2 linked regions of the Tamandua tetradactyla genome follow. The protein of the gene in region 1 binds, or shares a complex with, the protein of each later gene. Links are inferred from orthologs where the notes say so. Each region holds a gene or a part of one and is shown in the gene's direction. Other genes may lie near its edges.

Region 1 (8,734 bases):
AACCAACATGAAACATTATTATTAATTGAAGTTTAACACTGTGTTGTATGATATTAATATAGACCCTATAGCTTTTTATTTACTTATTTTTGGTTATTGTTTACATGACAAGTCTGTTTGTTTCCATCCTTTAATTTTTAACCTATCTGTGCTTTTATATTAAAAGTAGGTTTCTTATAGGCAGCACACAGTTGGATTTTGCTCTAACTTTCAATCTGACAATCTCTTTAATTGGGATGAATAGACTATTTAATTTAATTTATTCATTATGCTGCTGGATTTACCTCTATCATTTTGCTATTCGCTCTTTATTTGTCCCATTTCTTCTTTTTTCTTTCTTCCTTCTTTAGGGTTAATCAGTTTCATTTTATCTCCACTATTGGCTAATTAACTATATCTCTGATTTTTTTTAGTGGGAACTCAAGGATTTCTAATATATACCCTTAATTTATTAAAGCACCTTAAAATATGTCTCATTTAATAAAGAATAAGCAGTTCTTAACTTTATACTTTCATTTTCTCCCTCCAAATTTTTTATTATCATTTTCATACTTTTTTACCTCTCCATATGCTATAAAATATAACCATTACTTTAATTTTGCTTTAAGCCATCGATTACCTTTTAAGAATGTAAAACTTTTCAAAAATTATATTCATCCTTTTATTCACCATTTCCAAGATTTTCTATTTCTTAGTGTTATTCTAAAAATTTTTACCTGCCATCATTTTCCTTTTGGCTTGAAAAACTTCCTTTAACAGCTCTTGTTAGTAGTCTTTTGGTAATGAATTTTCTTGTTTTTGTTTCACTGAAAAGGTCTTTATTTTGCTCATTTGTGAAAGACATTTTCACTAGATAAAGAGTTCTAGTTTGATAGTTTTTCTTCTTTCAGTACCTCAAAGATGTGTATCCATGACTCCCCCGACTTGCATAGTTTTTGACAAGAAGTTGGCTTTAATTCTTATCTTTGCTTCTTTGCGCACAATGAATCTTTTCCCTTCAGTTGCTGATAAGAGTCACCAGTTTTCAGTAATTCAATATAATGTGCCTTGGAGGGATTTTCTTTATGGTTATTCTGTTTTCTGTTGACTGAACTACTTGGATCCAATGGGCTTATAGTTTTCATCAACTGTGGAAAATCTGTAGTCATTATTTCTTCAAATGTTTATTCTGAACCCTTTGTTTTTTTCTAGAATTCCAATTACACATATGTTAGACCACCTGACAGCTTCCCCAAAGTGATTTATGTTGTGTTCTTTTTTCCAGCCCTTTTCCTTTAGTATTTTTTCTCTTTGTTTTTCGTTCTAGATGGTTTTTGTTGTGATATCTTCAAGTTCATTGTTCTTTTTTTCTGAAATGTCTAATCTGATGTTAGTCCCAGCCAGTGTATACTTTTCATTTCAGATACTGTATTTTTCATTTTCATAAAGTGAATTTGAATCATTTTTTTATAGCTTCCATTTCTCTTCTCACATGGTCAGGTTTTGCTTTTCCTCCTTGCATGTATGGAGCATGTTTATAATAACCATTTTACCATCTTTGTTTGCTATTCCCATTAGCTTTGTCACATCTGGGTTTGTTTCTATTGAATTACTCTTTTCCTAGTTATGTGTCATATTTTCTTGCCTCCTTGCATGCTTGGTAATTTTTTATTGGGTGTCAGATGTGAACATTACCATGTGATTTGCTGAATTTTGTTTTATTCATTTTAGTAGTGTTGGATTTTCTCCCCCGGTGGACAATGGAATGTTTTGGAGCCTTTTGAAGTTTGCTTTTAAGATTTGCTAGGGTGGGTCTTGCATACCCTTATTCGAGGTCTAACTTAGTTCCATTACTAAAGTGATACTATTTTGAGGATTCTACCCCATGCCCTGTTTGTTACAAGGTCTTTCCACTTGAACTGGTGAAGTTCAAAGTATTTCCAGCAATTCTGAGATCTAGCTCTGCCTACTCCACTCCAGACATTCTTTCTCCAGTCTTGCTTAATTTCCTCTCACATACTCACAGGTAGGTACTCAGCCAAAGGTATCTACAAAGATACTGCAGATCTTGGCTTGTTTGTTTTTCAGTGTCTAAAAGCCCAATACTTTGTATGTTTTGTTAGGATTTCTTGTTGCTAGGGCAGGAGGGTAGAACGGTCCCTGTTACTCTACTAGAGCCAGACGCAGAAGTTCCTCAAAATATATTTTTGAGACAGCTCCATGCTCAGATATGTAGATTTAGTTCATTTCTTTAAACTGCTATAAAGTATTGCATTGTATGACCATATCTCATTTTGTTTATGTCTCTTTTTCCTAGACATTTGTGTTGTTCCTAGATTTTTACTACATATTATAAATAATATGCTTTTTGGGGAAAATACCCATAAATAGAATTTCTGATTTATAAGTTATGTTCATTTTTAGATTTGATAGAAAGCATCAAATTGCTTTTCAAAATGGCAGCTCCAGTGTTCACTCCCATCAGTACAGTGTGAAAGTACATATTTCCCCACAGTATCCTCCAAACATCATATTATCAGACACTAAAATTTCAGGCAATGTGATAGGGGATAAAGGTAGCTCATTATTATTTTAATTCTAATTTTCCTAAGTATCAGTGAATTTGCACAATTCTTCATCTGTTTATTGACCTTATGCTTTACTTCTTTCATGAATTGCCTGTTTTATTCTTTGCTCCCTTTTCTATTGGATTATTTTACTCTTTACTATTAATTTTTAGATATTCTTTATCTACTTTTGGTACTATACTTTCGTTACTTAAAATTTTTTTTGTAAATATTTCTCTGAGTATATGGCTTGCTTACTTTTAATCTATGGTGTCTTTTCTTGCACATACTTTTGTTTTTTTGCATAGGCGGGCACCGGGAAATGAACCTGGGTCTCCGGCATGGCAGGCAAGAACTTAGCCTGCTGAGCCACCATGGCCTGCCCTTGCACATACTTTTTTGATGTCGATGTGTTCAAACTTAATGATCTTTCCTTTATATTTTTCACATAGGAAAACCTCCTTTATTCTAAGGACATAAAATAAATTTCTATTATTTGAAAAATTCTTTTTATTTTGCTACTTTATAGTTAGACTTTAAACCTTCAGTTTATACGTGTAAATGTGAGCCAGAGGTCTAATCTTATTTTTTTCAGACAAAGAATCAATTGTCCCTACTTTATTTGTTGGTGGTCCATCCTTGTCACATGCTACCATCAAGGCCGCCGACTGTGAGATGGTCCCTGCCTGGGTGCTCTATGCGCCTTTCCTTCTTTATTCATCCCATCAATTCTACAAGGAAGGTAATAGTAGGATTATCTCCATTTTTCAGATGGGGAAACTGAGGCTCATAAAGATTAAATATCTTGCTCAAGGTCACATAGATAGCAAGCAATGGGTCTAGAATCTGGACCTAGAGTATAGAGAGCTAGAATGGAGTACCGTGACCCTGGGCTATTAAAAAAGAATGACAGGCCTGGAAGAACCCTGGGAATACAAACCTTTGGGTCAAGATTTCTCAACCTTGGTACTATTAATATTTCGGACTGGAAAATGTTTTAGCTGGTGGCGGCGGGGAGGTGTCATCCTCTGCATTGTAGGGAATTCAGCAGCAGCCCTGGCCTCTACCCACTAAATGCAAGTCCCACCTTGCCACTTCCCCCACTCTCCTCCACTCTGGGTGGTGACAGTGAAAGATGTCTCTAGACATTGCCCTGTCCCCCAGGGGACAAAATTGCTCCTGGTTAAGAACCACTAATTCAGATAATAATAACTATTATTAATGTGCCACTATCAATTATTAATCATCATTAATGCTACTGATTTCGACACTAATTATCAGTGGTGATAATCCTAACATTTGCCCTTGGCCTGTTACCTATTTGGAGCTGAGGGATATGAGGTTGCAACTTTTCCTTTAAGGTCTACCCTCTCAACATTCTGGTCTCCCAACAGGTGAGTCTTTCTTCTGTATCACCCTGAAAATGTGCGCTTTCACCATCACAGCAAACACATGGAAACACTCGTCCAAGGGTATGGGGTGGTGGGGCTTGGGTGTTGCTCTCGTTTTATTTTCAAAATCCTTTCATTTAATGTTTTCTTGGCAGTGGACAAATACGGAAAAATAAAACCCTGCTGATGTAAAACGATTCCTCAATCCAGATGTGGCGGGGGTGGGGAACAGTGCATCATTTGCGGAATGCGTCAAGCCTGCAAACATGCGTGCTGACACTGCCTCCGTCCGGGCCTACAGCTGCGGGGAATGAAGACCTGCAGGCAAGTCTCAGGGCTTCCCAGGGCTTCGGATGCTTAGGGCCCTCAAATATCAAATCTGCTTCCACATTTCATGTTCTGCAGGATCTAGGGCAATTTAGAACTGTCTTTAAGCCTGGCCTTTTGGGAGCCCACGTTTTGAGGTCTAAAACTGTAATAATGACCAGACAACAAACGTTCAAAATGTTTTCTGGGGCTGTATAGTCTTCTTATTGCTGGTACTGATAAGTCTTTGTGCCCCAGAGGTCCCGGGCTCAGCTAGCCTAGCTTTGTAGTGCCTCGCCAGGCTCTCCATCAAGCTTACCTCTCCTTGCTGTCCTGAGGGGCTCCTGAGATACTTGACCGGCCCCCAGGTGAAGCCCAGGGCCTGAAAACTTACAGATTTCCCCTCATCACCCAGGCAGGTATTCTTGTGAAGTTCTGCGGTCCTTCTAGGCTGGCCCACGCTGGTGCTTGGGGCTCCTCTGCTAAGCTCCTTCTTCCTGCCCTACCCTCTTCACTGGCTCCATCCCCCCAGCTCTGAGCTCAGTCCTCAGCCCTGTGGACTCAGCTGGAATCATCAGCTGGTCTGGGAGCTCCCCGGGGGGCAGGGGCCAGGTCTCCTCTCTCATCCCCCAGGGCCCGTCATTTGGAGGCTGGGGGCTCCCTCTACTATGTAGGCTAGCAAGTGGCTGGGCCCAGAGGGCAAAATGGTAAAGGATATTGAATAACTGCCGCAAGGCAGGTTCCTATGGCTGTCATGTCTCTGGGCCCTTGCCATCAGGACAGACACATAGGTAGACTTACGAACGGCACGGAAGGAGGTGGGGGCCTCAGCCCCTCCCTGCTGTGGACACAGAGTCCCAGCCTAGGCCAGGGCTGAGTTGGAAACCTCATCCTGCAGTCCTGGTGAATATTCAGCCAGTTCTAGCTCTTGCTTATGCAAACAGCAGCCTGAGAAGGGACGCAGAGGGTGGCGGGCGGTGGCAGCAGGAGAGGGCATGTGGGAGAGGGAAGAGGACCACCTCTGCTGAGTCCCCAGCATGGACAGCCGGACATGGGGCACTTGCCTCCTCTGCTTACTGAGCCCATTTCCAATCGTGAGTAGCCTGCTCAGACCCTCCTGCCTCTCCCGCGGGGCTCCGGGTCTGGGAGCCATAGGGCTGCTGGGAGACCAACCGGAGCCTGGTGGAGACCCCACTGCCCTTCCTCCATGCAGGATCTCTACTAAGCAGTCTCCTTCCTTCCCCGAGGCCAGCAGTTCCATTTCTGGGTAGCTCTGACTAGATCTCCCCAGTGCCGAGCTGAGCCCCGCTCCCCACTGTTCCTCCCAGAGCCTGTTTATGCCCTCTGCAGGCACAAGAAGCTGCTTCAGAATTGGCAAGACAAAGTACTCACCTCAAGTCTACTTTCTCTAAGCTACACCCCCCAATTCCTACACACGCGCTTCCTCTGATAGGTTTTCCAGACCCTTCCCTGTCCCCATAACTCCCTTGAGCCACACTCCAAGTGGCTGGTTTCCTTTTAAGAGTCTGATGCTGAGACTGAGCAAGGTCCCGAGTAGTACATGGAGAAGCAGCTGCTCGCCTCCAGCATTTAGGGGATTCTTCTCCTGGCAGTGCCCCTGGGGGCTGGCAGAGCGTTTGGCAGCCACATCTTGCTCTATGGTCTAGAGAGCTGAGGAATGGGGCACCAGGACAGAGGGCCTTCCCTGAATGTGCTGTGATCTCCCAGCACATTTTCCAGGAAGTGGCTAGATGTGATAGCAGGGATGGGGAGGGGAAGCCAGCGCCTGCGGGGAGCTTGTCGGAGTCCAGGCAGACAGAGGTCTCATTTTTCCTCCAGTGCTTCAGCTACCCTGGCCTTATGGGGCTGCCACCCCTTCCCACTACTTCTCTGCCCTGGCCCTTAGGGCACAGGCTTCGTACTTGAATCCTGGCACCAGAAAACTAGCTGTGTGACCCGGGGCAGGTACCTAACCCTTCCTGAGCCTCCCTTGCCTCTTTTGTAAAAAGGGAAAACTGTGTCCATTGATTGTGATCTGATTTGTCGAGGCCGGGCCCAGGGGTACAGAACATGCCCTCTTCATCTGTAGGGAAGGAATCCTCGTCCCTGTCATCTGTGTGCACCCAGGGCAATAGCTCTATTTTCAGGAGAGTGAACTGAGACCTCTCCTGGGTCCTCCAGCAGGACTAGAACCAATCAGTCAGCACTGCAGGCTCCATTCCCAGGGACCCCGGGAGTGCCCAGGGTGATGGAGTCTCCTCTCAGGGTGGGTGGGACACAGGGTATAGGTTGGGGTGCTCCCACCCCCCATGCAGCTTGCCCTGTGACCACACTTCCTGTCCCATTAGTTGGGTTTCTCAGTATCTTCCTCTCTGAGGAAGTCTGGGGCACAGCCGGTCCACACTCTTGGTGGGAAGCCAGCCAACCAGGGCCCTAGTCCCTCCGACCTCAGTAGTTCTCCAGGCAGACCCTGAGAAGATGTTCCAGGGAGGGATGGAGCTTGCCAGTCAGTGGAGGAGGAGGAAGGACAAATGGAGATTTCAGGTTACAGTTAGGCTACTGGGTAAGAAAAGTCCCAGACAGGACATCTCGGGCACTCCTCACCTCCCCTGACTCCAGTGCTCAGCATGCTGTGGGGGAGGTGGGGAAGGGAGTAATGAGGCTGAGGCTCTGTGCTCAGATGGCCCTGTGGCCACGAGTCCTGGAGAAGAAGCCAAGAACAGTCTGAGATACTGGTCAAAATGGAGAGCTGGGGTCTGGACAGTGGGCATGTACAGCCCGAGGCCCTGCAGGGCCAAGCCGGAGATGACAGAGCAGGTGAGCCCAAGCTGGGGTTTGGAAGTGGGGTCAACAGGTTGGGAGGGGAGTGCCCTCCTCTGCAGGGGCAGGACGGGTAGGGGTGGGTCCATCTCCCGGGCTGGGCCTCCATGTCCTCTCCCAGCCCATTGGCCTGTAGCAAGTGTCCTGGGTCCCTCCCATGTGCTCACCCACATGAAAGCAGAGCGTGGAACAAGGGCACCCATGTATGTAGTTTATATGGAATTGATTTCAGTGATCATGAGAGCAGAACAGGGGGAGTAAAATAGGAAAGGAAGATGAGTCGTTGGTATCTTATAAGGACTTTCGTTAATGGTGTCTCAGAATTTGCTTCCACAAGGTGAAAAGGAGAAAAATGTATCTATTGACTCCTATTCCCTCCTGCAGTTCTGGATTTTGCATGCATGAGTGTGGAGTGGGTTCCTGTGGCTATTCCATGCTGTAACACCCGATGAGGCTGGGACAGGAAGTGAGAGGCACATGGTGTGCTGTCTAATTGCATGTGCATAAAGCCAAATGGAATCCACGAGGAACTGAACACTGCAGCCATTGCTGGAATAACAGGGGGACCCACAGGACTTAGAAATGTTGCATATGTGTTCAATATACTTATTAATCTATTGATGTCTCTATTCACATAACTATTATTCATCCATCTTTCTAACCACGCATCCATCCATTTATTCAAACATCACTTCATCTGTCCACCCACCCATCCATCCATCCATTATCTGTCCATCCATCATCCACCCACCCACCCATCCACCCATTTATCCAAGCATACATTCGGCACACCTTTTACATGCTGTGAGCCAAGCTCTGTGCTTAGGATCAAGAGCACAGAAACAAGTCAGGCTTTGTCTCTACCCTCAGACCATTTGGACCGAAGACCCAGAATAAGTTCCCAATGTGCTTGGCTCATCCTGTTACCTCTTTTCTGCAGGTATTGGGCCTTGTGCACCCAGAATGTGACTTCATCATGCAATTGAGAGAGGATGAGCATGCATGCCAACAAGCAGCAGAAGGGCTGCCCAACACCACCCTGGGTATAGGGCTTGGAAGGGAATTGGGGGCTGAAGGGGAGAGGAGAATTCTCTGACCCTTTAATCTCCTCCAGCCTCACCACTCCGAATGCTGGGTGAGCCTTTCCCCTGGGCTGAGTCTCTGTGGCTCCCATCTCTCTGTCCAGGCTGCCCTAGGACCTGGGATGGCCTGCTGTGCTGGCCGGTGGCAGGCTCTGGCGACTGGGTCACCCTCCCCTGCCCAGATTTCTTCTCTCACTTCAGCCCCGAGCCAGGTGAGTGGTCTCAGGTGGTTGCATCTGTTGATGGCAGAACAAGATGGACAAATCCTGGCCTCTGGAGGCAGGCAGACCTGGATTTGAATACCGACCTTCAATCTCTCCGCGTGACCATGGGCAAGTTGGTCATCCCATCCCAGCTTCAGCTTCCTTACCTGTGAACTGGGGAGAATAAGAGCATTTACCTCACAGGGGGCAGGGATCAGAGAGTGAAGCATCCAGGTGCAGGCCTGTGCCTGGCACTAGAAGTGCTCCCAGATGTTTGCAGGAAGGCTGGCTGCCAAATGTACAGGGTGACAACAACTGCCTGGGACGACTCCCTGGAGGGGCGTGGGTAAAAAGCTCCCTTGGCTGCTCTGCCTTACCAACCTGGC
Region 2 (8,166 bases), about 77 Mb from region 1:
AGATCTTTATAGGGAGGGGACTGCCTGGAGGATCGGCTGAGAACCGCGTCCCTGTGCCTACACCAAGTTTACCGATCCAGAAACCCAACCCTAACCCTAACCCAATAATTGGACTGGGGCAGACCCAAAGATTCCAAGCAAGGTGAACATTTCAAATACTCTAGAATGACATTTCCAAGTAACCCGCCAGGTCATTACATTAATTCACTAAGGTCAGTTGACTTCACCTCTTCATTAAAAGCTCTTCCAGTGACCGTCCCACATGCAGATTCTTCCAGAAAGACAGGGACATCTTAATCACCATCTAAACACAGACCCTTCTGCTCCGGTAGGGTCTTATACTTCACAGTTTTTCACAGGGGCCATGGCCATTGTGAAGCAGGAAGAGAGGATCTGATTGGCCCATTTTACAGAAGAGGAAACTGAGGCTCAGGGAAGTCAAGTGACTTTACCTAAGTCCACCCCGTCCCCTCACTCTGACCAAGGATTCACAAGCACTCATATGGCATCTGCTGCTGCTGACTGCATAAAAAAGGGGCCGAGCAGGCCAGGGGGCAGGGAGAAAGGGGGAGCAGAAGGAGTCAAAGGACTCTGGGAGTCGGGACTCCAGGCCTCTCCCTTCCATTGCCAGTAGCCTCAGCTGGAAGCACTGCCATAATCCATGGAGGACGATAAAAGCAGCTTTTACAAAGCAGGGTCTGAGGTCCTCAGACAGGCCCCCATTGTCGACTTCCACTCCCCTCCCCACCCCCTTTCCCACTGCCTTTAGCGTCACCCTCTTTGAATGACTGGCTCGCACACATTGGAAATTTGCAACACAAATGCAGGGCTTGTCTCCCTCTCGGTGGAGTCCCACTGCCCCGACCCTCTGGGGTCTTTTGGAGCCTGCCATTCTCTAGGGCGCTTTCTTTTTACAAGATTGAGCCCCTAGCTCCTAGATGCAGCCGCTATCGCTAATTAATACCGGGTTAAAACATGTCCTGGGAAAGAGCACCGAGGACCTGGTGGCGGGGGTGGCTCTCTCACTGCTTCTTGGGGGGGTAGGGGTGGGGTGGAAAGGACAAGGAGGGCGGGGGGGAATCACTGGAGGGGCCTGCACCCTCATTCCCACCGCGCGTCAGCTCTTCTTGGCTTTCTCCCCCATGCCCTTCCTGAACAGGTCTGAGAATCCACTGTAAATAAAGCTTGTCACCAAGACTAGTCTCAGCTCTCCCTACCACCACCCCACCCAGCTTTTAGGGCTCAGTTCTGATCATAAGAACTATAAAAGCAGCTACCATTTGCCAAGAATCTATCAGACACTTTACAAGCATGTTTCTGAACCTCACAACAACCTGGAGTGGTAGGTGTTACTAACCCCATTGTACAGATGAGATAACAGAGGCTGGGAGAGATTAAGCGACCTGTCCAGAATCAGACAATTTGTAAGTGGCAGAACTGGTTTCAAATCCAGATCCTCTTGTTACCTAAGCCTGTACTCCTTTTCTAGACCCAGCGGCTTCTCTCCCCTCCTCTCTGATGCTCTCTCAGCTTTGTGTGACTCCGCTCTGCTCTCAGATATTGGAGCTTTCATGGCATGTTCCTCTCTCTCGAACTTCTGCCTGGAATAATTACTCGCTTCTCACATGCCCATTTCCTGCAGCTCACTGAAGACAAGCCGGGTACCACACATTCTGCTCTTCTCATGGCACCTAGGAAAATGCCCTGCCCCACTCCCCTAACAACAGAAAGGGGACCAGATGGTTCAGTGATGGACAGCTAACCCAACGAGCCTTGCGTGGTCCTAACTGGGTACTTAGGTGTTTGTGGGTTAAGGAAATAAGTGATGACTGAGCGTCTTTAAGAACCGGTGGGAGAGCCCTCCATCACTGCTGGCAGGCACGTAAGTGTTATAACAACCTTGGAAAACAGCTCGGCAGTTTCTTAAGAAGTTCAGTGTAAAGGGGGAAGAGTGAAATGAGACAAAATAAAGTGTCAATGGCCGAGAGATTCCAAACAGAGTCGAGAGGTTATCCTGGAGGTTATTCTTACGCATTAAGTAGATATCACCTTTCTAGTTAAGGTGTAATGGAGAGGCTGGAGGGAACTGCCTGAAAATGTAGAGCTGTGTTTCAGTAGCCATGTTTCTTGATGATGATTGTATAATGATATAGCTTTCACAATGTGACTGTGTGATTGTGAAAACCTTGTGTCTGATGCTCCTTATCTACCTTGTCAACAGACAAGTAGAACATATGGATTAAAAATAAATAATAGGGGGAACAAATGTTAAAATAAATTTGGTAGATTGAAATGCTGGTGATCAATGAAAGGGAGAAGTAAGGGGTATGGTATATATGAGTTTTTTCTGTTTTCTTTTTATTTCTTTTTCTGAATTGATGCAAATGTTCTGAGAAATGATCGTGATGACGAATATACAACTGTGATGATATTGTGAGTTATTTATATAACAAGAAAGGAATGATTATATGGTAAGAATGTTTGTATTTGTATGTGGTTATGTTTCACAAAAAAATGATTATGGTGAGAATACACAACTATATGATGATATTGTGAGCCACTGATTGTATACCATGTATGGACTGTATGTTTGTGAAGATTTGTCAATAAAAATATTTTTTAAAAAAAGTTCAGTGTACACTTACCATACAACCCAGTGAATCCACTCCTAAGTACCCACCCAAGAGAAATGAAAGCATATGTTCGCACAAAATCTTGTACTTGGATGTTCATAGCAGTATTATTCAGAATAGCCCCAAACTGCAAACAACTCGGATGTCCATCAACAAATGAATGGATAAATGAACTGCAATACAAGGGAATACTACCCAACAGGAAAAAGAAACAAACTACTGCTACATGGAATAACACGACTGAATCTTGATAGCATTATGCTGAGTGAAAGAAGCCAGACACACAAGAGTACATATTGTATGCTTCCATTTATATGAGCTTTCTAGTAAAGGAAAACCATAGAGACAGAAAGCAGATCAGTGGTGGCCTACAGCTGGTGTAGGCCATGGGAACTGACAACAAATGGGCTCTGGGGAATTTGCAGGGTTATGAAAGTGTTCCAAAACAGGATGGTGGTGCTGGCTGTACAACTGTATACATTTATGAAAACTCATTGAGCTGTTTACTTAAAACAGGTGAGTTTTATGGCATATTGATTATACGTCAATAAAACTGTTAAAGCTCTTTGAAAAGAAAAAGATAAGGAAGAAGAACTGATGGGACCAAGGCAGGGCCTCAGGAGAACATTAGCTTGAGGTGGAGCATGAGTTTGGGAGTCAGCCCACCTTTGCTGGAGTCCTGGCTTTATCCCTGACCAGCTCTGTGACTGCGATCAGTATGTAACTTTTCTTGTTGGTAGCAACAAAGCAGTAGTAATAGCTAATCGGTGAGGCTGACCCTATGTCAGGCCGGTACCCAACAGCTTCGACTGCTGAGTCCTTCACACCCACTTTACAGATGAGGAAACTGGGGTGAGACATGAAGTCCTTCTTGCAACACCTGGCACAGAGCCCCAACTGGGGTTGACTTCTGACCCCCACGGTTCTCCAGCTAACTCCATGTGTCTGGCTTCTGGGCTCTGGCCTGGCATCCAGTCTGGGTCCCCAGCTCCACGTGGTCCCTGGCTTGCATCCTCTAGTCCTTCTGACTCTCTGAGGAGAGTCCACAGACAGTTCCACCTGCTGCCTCTTGCTGTGTCCCAGGGGGTCCGGCCTGCCCTGATCACACTGTGTCCAGATGGGCAGAGCAACATGCCACTTAGTCCCTGCTTCTAGGAGAAGCAGTCCATGCTTGCTCTGTGTCAAGAATACCACTCAGTGCAAGCCAAGAAGCAGAATCACGAAATATTGTTGCTAGCAGGGTCCTTAGAAACAACTCACTTTTAACTGTGCCCCACAGGGGTGTCTAAGGGTCAGGTAAAGGGAGTCTCTGCTGCCTCCTCTTTAACCACAGCAGCCCCGTTTTCTATCTGTTTTATATACTGTGCTGCCACAGAAGATTTCTGAAGGAAGGGGGTATGCCATTTTTTAAAACAAGTTTGAAAGCTGATGTTCGGAGCCAACTCTCAAGTTTACAGGAAAAGAAATTGAGGCCTGGAGGGTAGAAGTAACTTGCTGAGGGTCACAGAGGTGGGGACTGACAGGCATGGGAGACGCAGCAGTTCTCCTGACTCTTCCCACATCGCCACAGAAAGCAGTGTGGGACACCGGTGTGTCTGCGTCACGTTTATATTATTCCAGAGGATTCCTTAGCCATATGCTAGGGAAATCTGAAAGCACAACATCTCTCCCAAGGTTTTCCATCTCCTTCCCTTCTCTTCACACATCTCAGAGGCGACTACTGATGCTTGGTTGCCTTGACACAAGATGAAGGAAGCTCCCGGGGCTAGCTGTCTAGACCAGCCTGTGACCGCAGCAGGCGCAAGTCAAACAGAGAAAAATCTTGATAATTGGACAAGGGAGAGAGCAAACAACTTTCTTCACTAAGGAGAGCAAAACGTTTATTATTTTGGCTCCCCTAAGGTGAAATAAAGTATCATCTGGACAAGACAAAATTATACGAATTTTTTAAAGACGCAAAATTATTGTTTTCAAGAACAAATGCATCCTTGGTGTTTCATTGTTTTGAGTACTCCATTTATTAGAGCAGCAGTATTACACACTCTATTCCTGCTGGAATAATATTGCAACTTTGACTTTTTTCTGTTCCCTCAAAGATAAAGGGAAAGGTCAGTAGGAGTCTTAATTTGCAAGGGGAAAAACCTCTTTCCCCTATTAGGGTTTGTCACTGTGATGCTAAAAATGGTCCTTTGGTTGACTTGTGGGTAATTGGTTCTCTGACGCTGACAATGCTTAGGAAAATGAAGGTATAAATGGTGGGAGTGCCACGCAGCCGCCGGAGCAGACACCGAGGCTGAGGTCCGTGGAACTGGAGCAGCGACTCATAGCAGAGGGAGACCTGTCACATCGGAGGTGAGCAGGGGTGGCCCTGGGGCTGGGCTGGATGGGGGCGAGAAAAGTTGACCTTCTCACCAACTCAGAGATGCCAAGTCAAGGGGGTCCGGCACCACCCTCTTTGCCCATTGACTGGTGAGTACATTTGTGCCCCTTTCTGGGTAAAATAAGCCCTCTTTAGAGGCTCTGGCACATGCTTGAGGGCTGGCACCAGTTGAGGATTATTTTGGATGCCGTAGCACCTCAACCCATGGGGAAGTGTTTGGTAGGCATCTGTTGAAGGCGAGTGAGGTGTCAGTGTACCTTCAAGGGCGTGCAAGCACACTTCTGGGGCAAGGCATGAGCTGGCTAATTATCTTGTCAACGATGGGATTCTGCCATGGATCCGAGAGAAGCCAAGTAGCTGTGCAAATCAATACTGCCCAGAACCGGTTCAACCTAATTGCCTGGGAATTGATAACATTTTGCTTTCTTGCTCAGTTGCAGCTGTGCTCTTTACTCTAGGTTTTAGACACAATTATCCATCCTTGGTGCCCTCCATTACCCCATCACTGTTATCTCAATCCTTGCTTTAATGAGTCTGATGTATTCACCCTTTCCAGAAGACAGGGTGTCCCTCACTCTTTTGGATGACAGTTAAGATGCTACCTCAGTAGTAACAGATTTCCTTTGACTTAGAGCACTATTGGTGAGACAGTTTTTAAACTGGGTTGGGATGCCATTGCTTTAGGCTTCCCAAATTACAAAGCAGAATATTTAGGAAAGTTTTGTAAAAGTTTCTTTTTTCCTACATTTTCAAAAGTGGCCTCACTAGTCTTTGCACTTGAGATCTGACTTCTGTCTCTCGCTGAAGCTGCATCTGCAGAATTCTCATGGCATTCTTGGCTTGAAGGCTGGCAAAAGGTGCCAACTAATGAAGAGCAAGTGCCCATTTATCCTGAATCCAAATGACTTCGAATGCATCTAATCACAGAATTAGTTTGTAAGCACAGCAGAAAATTGGCTGGTATTCATAATGATAGATAATAAACTCTAAAATGCCTTTGGAGTCATCTAGAAGTCATTGGTATTGCTGTTGGGTTGGTGTCACACTTAATTCAGGGAGTTCTAGCTCCCTAGAATGATCATGTGGAATGTATCTGTCAGTAGCGATTTTATCCTCTGTTGCCCAAGCTCTTTTCTTATTTTACCATGAGCTGGATAATTCTGATTGCTTCCCATCTTTGTCCAGTGGGATTTTGCAGCCCCGTGGATAACAGTCTCATAGGCCAGAGGTTGCAGTGGAGGCTTGACCCAAACCTAGGGCACCTGCTTTACCACACACGTGTCTCTTGGTTAGCCAGAATGTACAATTACTCAGTCTCATTTTGAGAGCAAGATGTTGCCATATTTACTGTTACTTGACCCCCGGTCCTGCACTCTTACAGGGACCTTCAACTCCCTGAAACCACTGTGGGTGCACAGGGAGGCACCAAACAGGTATTCCTGTTTGTCCCTCTTTCTCCTTCTCCTAGAGCCCCAGTGACAAGGAGTGAATGATTTCCTTTTTCTTTTTTTTCAGCTGTTTCCCACGTGCAGGTGATGATTTCTGAGGCGCACCATGAATAGGGAGGGCTGTGAATAGGGCATTGTAGCCGGGAGGCTGCTGAGGGGAGCAGGAGGAAGTCTACTGGCCTGGGAATCAATCGGGAGGCCCATCCTGAAGTGCCCACTCCTAAACTAATTTGATGAAGGGCCATGGGAAAGGGCCCATCTCCTCCCCGGGCTTGTTTTCTTGGCTGTACAATGGGGGTCATGATACCTGCTCTGGGGGGCGAGTGTGAGCACGGGCTGTGTGGACCAGGGGGGCACAGGGGCTGGGAACCACTGAGGGGGACTCTAGGGGGAAGGGGTGGGAGGCAGAGGGAGAACTCTGAAGGGAGAGGGCTTCTGAGCAGGAGAGTGAAGTGTCTGGGGGGCTGGATGTGCCCAAATCTTTAGAAGATCATCAGCAAAGGAGGCAAGAAAGCCCAGGCTACAGTGCATTGTGTTAAGGGGCCCTCCTTGCTCCTGAAGACCTCTCTGCTTAGGAAATTTTACTGCCAGAGAAGCAGCCTGGACCAGGCTGGGGGAGCCAGGGAGTATGGTGCTACAAGGAGGAGGATGGCAAACTACTGGAGATCCTTGGTCCGAGGAGCAAAGGCTTAAGTCAGATGCAAAACTCATCTAAGGGTCTCATCCTGTGGATGAAGGTGTGAGGCTCTGGGAGGCACAGCAGGTGGATGTGAAAAGGGCAGCCCTGGGGGCAGATACAATATTCTAGTCTTTTCTCTAGCCCCAAGTCTTTATCAGAATAGTACAGACTTAACAAATATTTGCAGGATAAGGAGATATGTGGGCCTGGCAAGATGAGAAAAACCTCATAACTATAAGAGCTGCCTGGAGATAGGACAGACTGGCTTGGAGTTAGTGAGCTCCCCGTCATCACTGACCAGCGAATGCCAGAGTGGGAGCTGGAGGGCTGCCTGTTGGAGGCGGTGGTGGAGGGAACAGATTCCTGAAGCCTGGGTGGCTGCTCCCTCCAGCTCTGGAGATGTGGGACTCTCAGACCTCAGTGAGCAGACCTGAAGGGTGCTCCCTCTGGGACCAAGGCATCCCTGGGTTAGTTGAGACCTCAGGACCTGGGAGGAAAGGGGTGATGCTCTGAGAGGGCAAGTAAGTCCAGAAAAGAAAGGTGGATTTCACCAGTGCTAGCCCTGCCTGCCAGAAACCACAACTCGGCTCTAGGTGAGTGGTGGGGCCTCTACGTGGCTGGTGGGGCCTCTGGCGCCTGGGACAAAAGGTCAACGGGGCAGCTTTATCATGCCCATTTTCCAGATGGAGAAAATGAGGTCAGAGCCCATGACTGCGAGAGCCAGAAAAGGGCACACCAGTGGCCGTGGCTGCCCCAGACCCTCCCCCCACTGTCATTTTCCAGGTGCCTGCCCCGGAGCGAAGGATGATGCCCTGGATACTCCTCCTCATGATCCTCGCCCTCAGCAGCAGCTCCTACTGCTCCCTGCCCTCCCTGCCCCTCAGGTACGTGGCCTGGCCCACAGCGCCTGGGGTTCTGGCCATTCCCAAGCCATCCCTGCCACAGAGGGCTGCGGGATGCAGAAGCAAGTCGTTAGCTGTCCCCTGCCTATCTCCCCATCTCCGGGAAGGGGGCAGACCCTGAGCT

The links.
Region 2: the proteins of GHRHR (region 1) and GHRH are in contact, whole or in part, in a cryo-EM structure (PDB 7CZ5), measured with the Homo sapiens proteins. The link is inferred for Tamandua tetradactyla from reciprocal best matches to the Homo sapiens genes GHRHR and GHRH. Residues at the interface, in NP_000814.2 of Homo sapiens: Leu119, Ala120, Glu122, Glu123, Phe126, Ser127, Val129, Lys130, Tyr133, Val179, Lys182, Leu186, Phe187, Asp190, Thr192, Asp193, His194, Cys195, Phe197, His210, Thr213, Phe217, Ala271, Cys272, Asp274, Leu275, Asp276, Trp282, Ile285, Ile289; in NP_066567.1 of Homo sapiens: Tyr32, Ala33, Asp34, Ala35, Ile36, Phe37, Thr38, Asn39, Ser40, Tyr41, Arg42, Val44, Leu45, Gly46, Gln47, Leu48, Ser49, Ala50, Leu53.

The regions. Positions count from the first base shown.
Region 1 is NC_135327.1:91,808,253-91,816,986, reverse strand, and holds the start of GHRHR (growth hormone-releasing hormone receptor), read left to right. Parts: upstream 1-5,280; coding exon 5,281-5,337; intron 5,338-8,003; coding exon 8,004-8,106; intron 8,107-8,249; coding exon 8,250-8,357; intron 8,358-8,734.
Region 2 is NC_135327.1:14,938,005-14,946,170, forward strand, and holds the start of GHRH (somatoliberin), read left to right. Parts: upstream 1-4,874; 5' UTR 4,875-4,985; intron 4,986-7,923; 5' UTR 7,924-7,944; coding exon 7,945-8,024; intron 8,025-8,166. UniProt on the Homo sapiens protein: GRF is released by the hypothalamus and acts on the adenohypophyse to stimulate the secretion of growth hormone.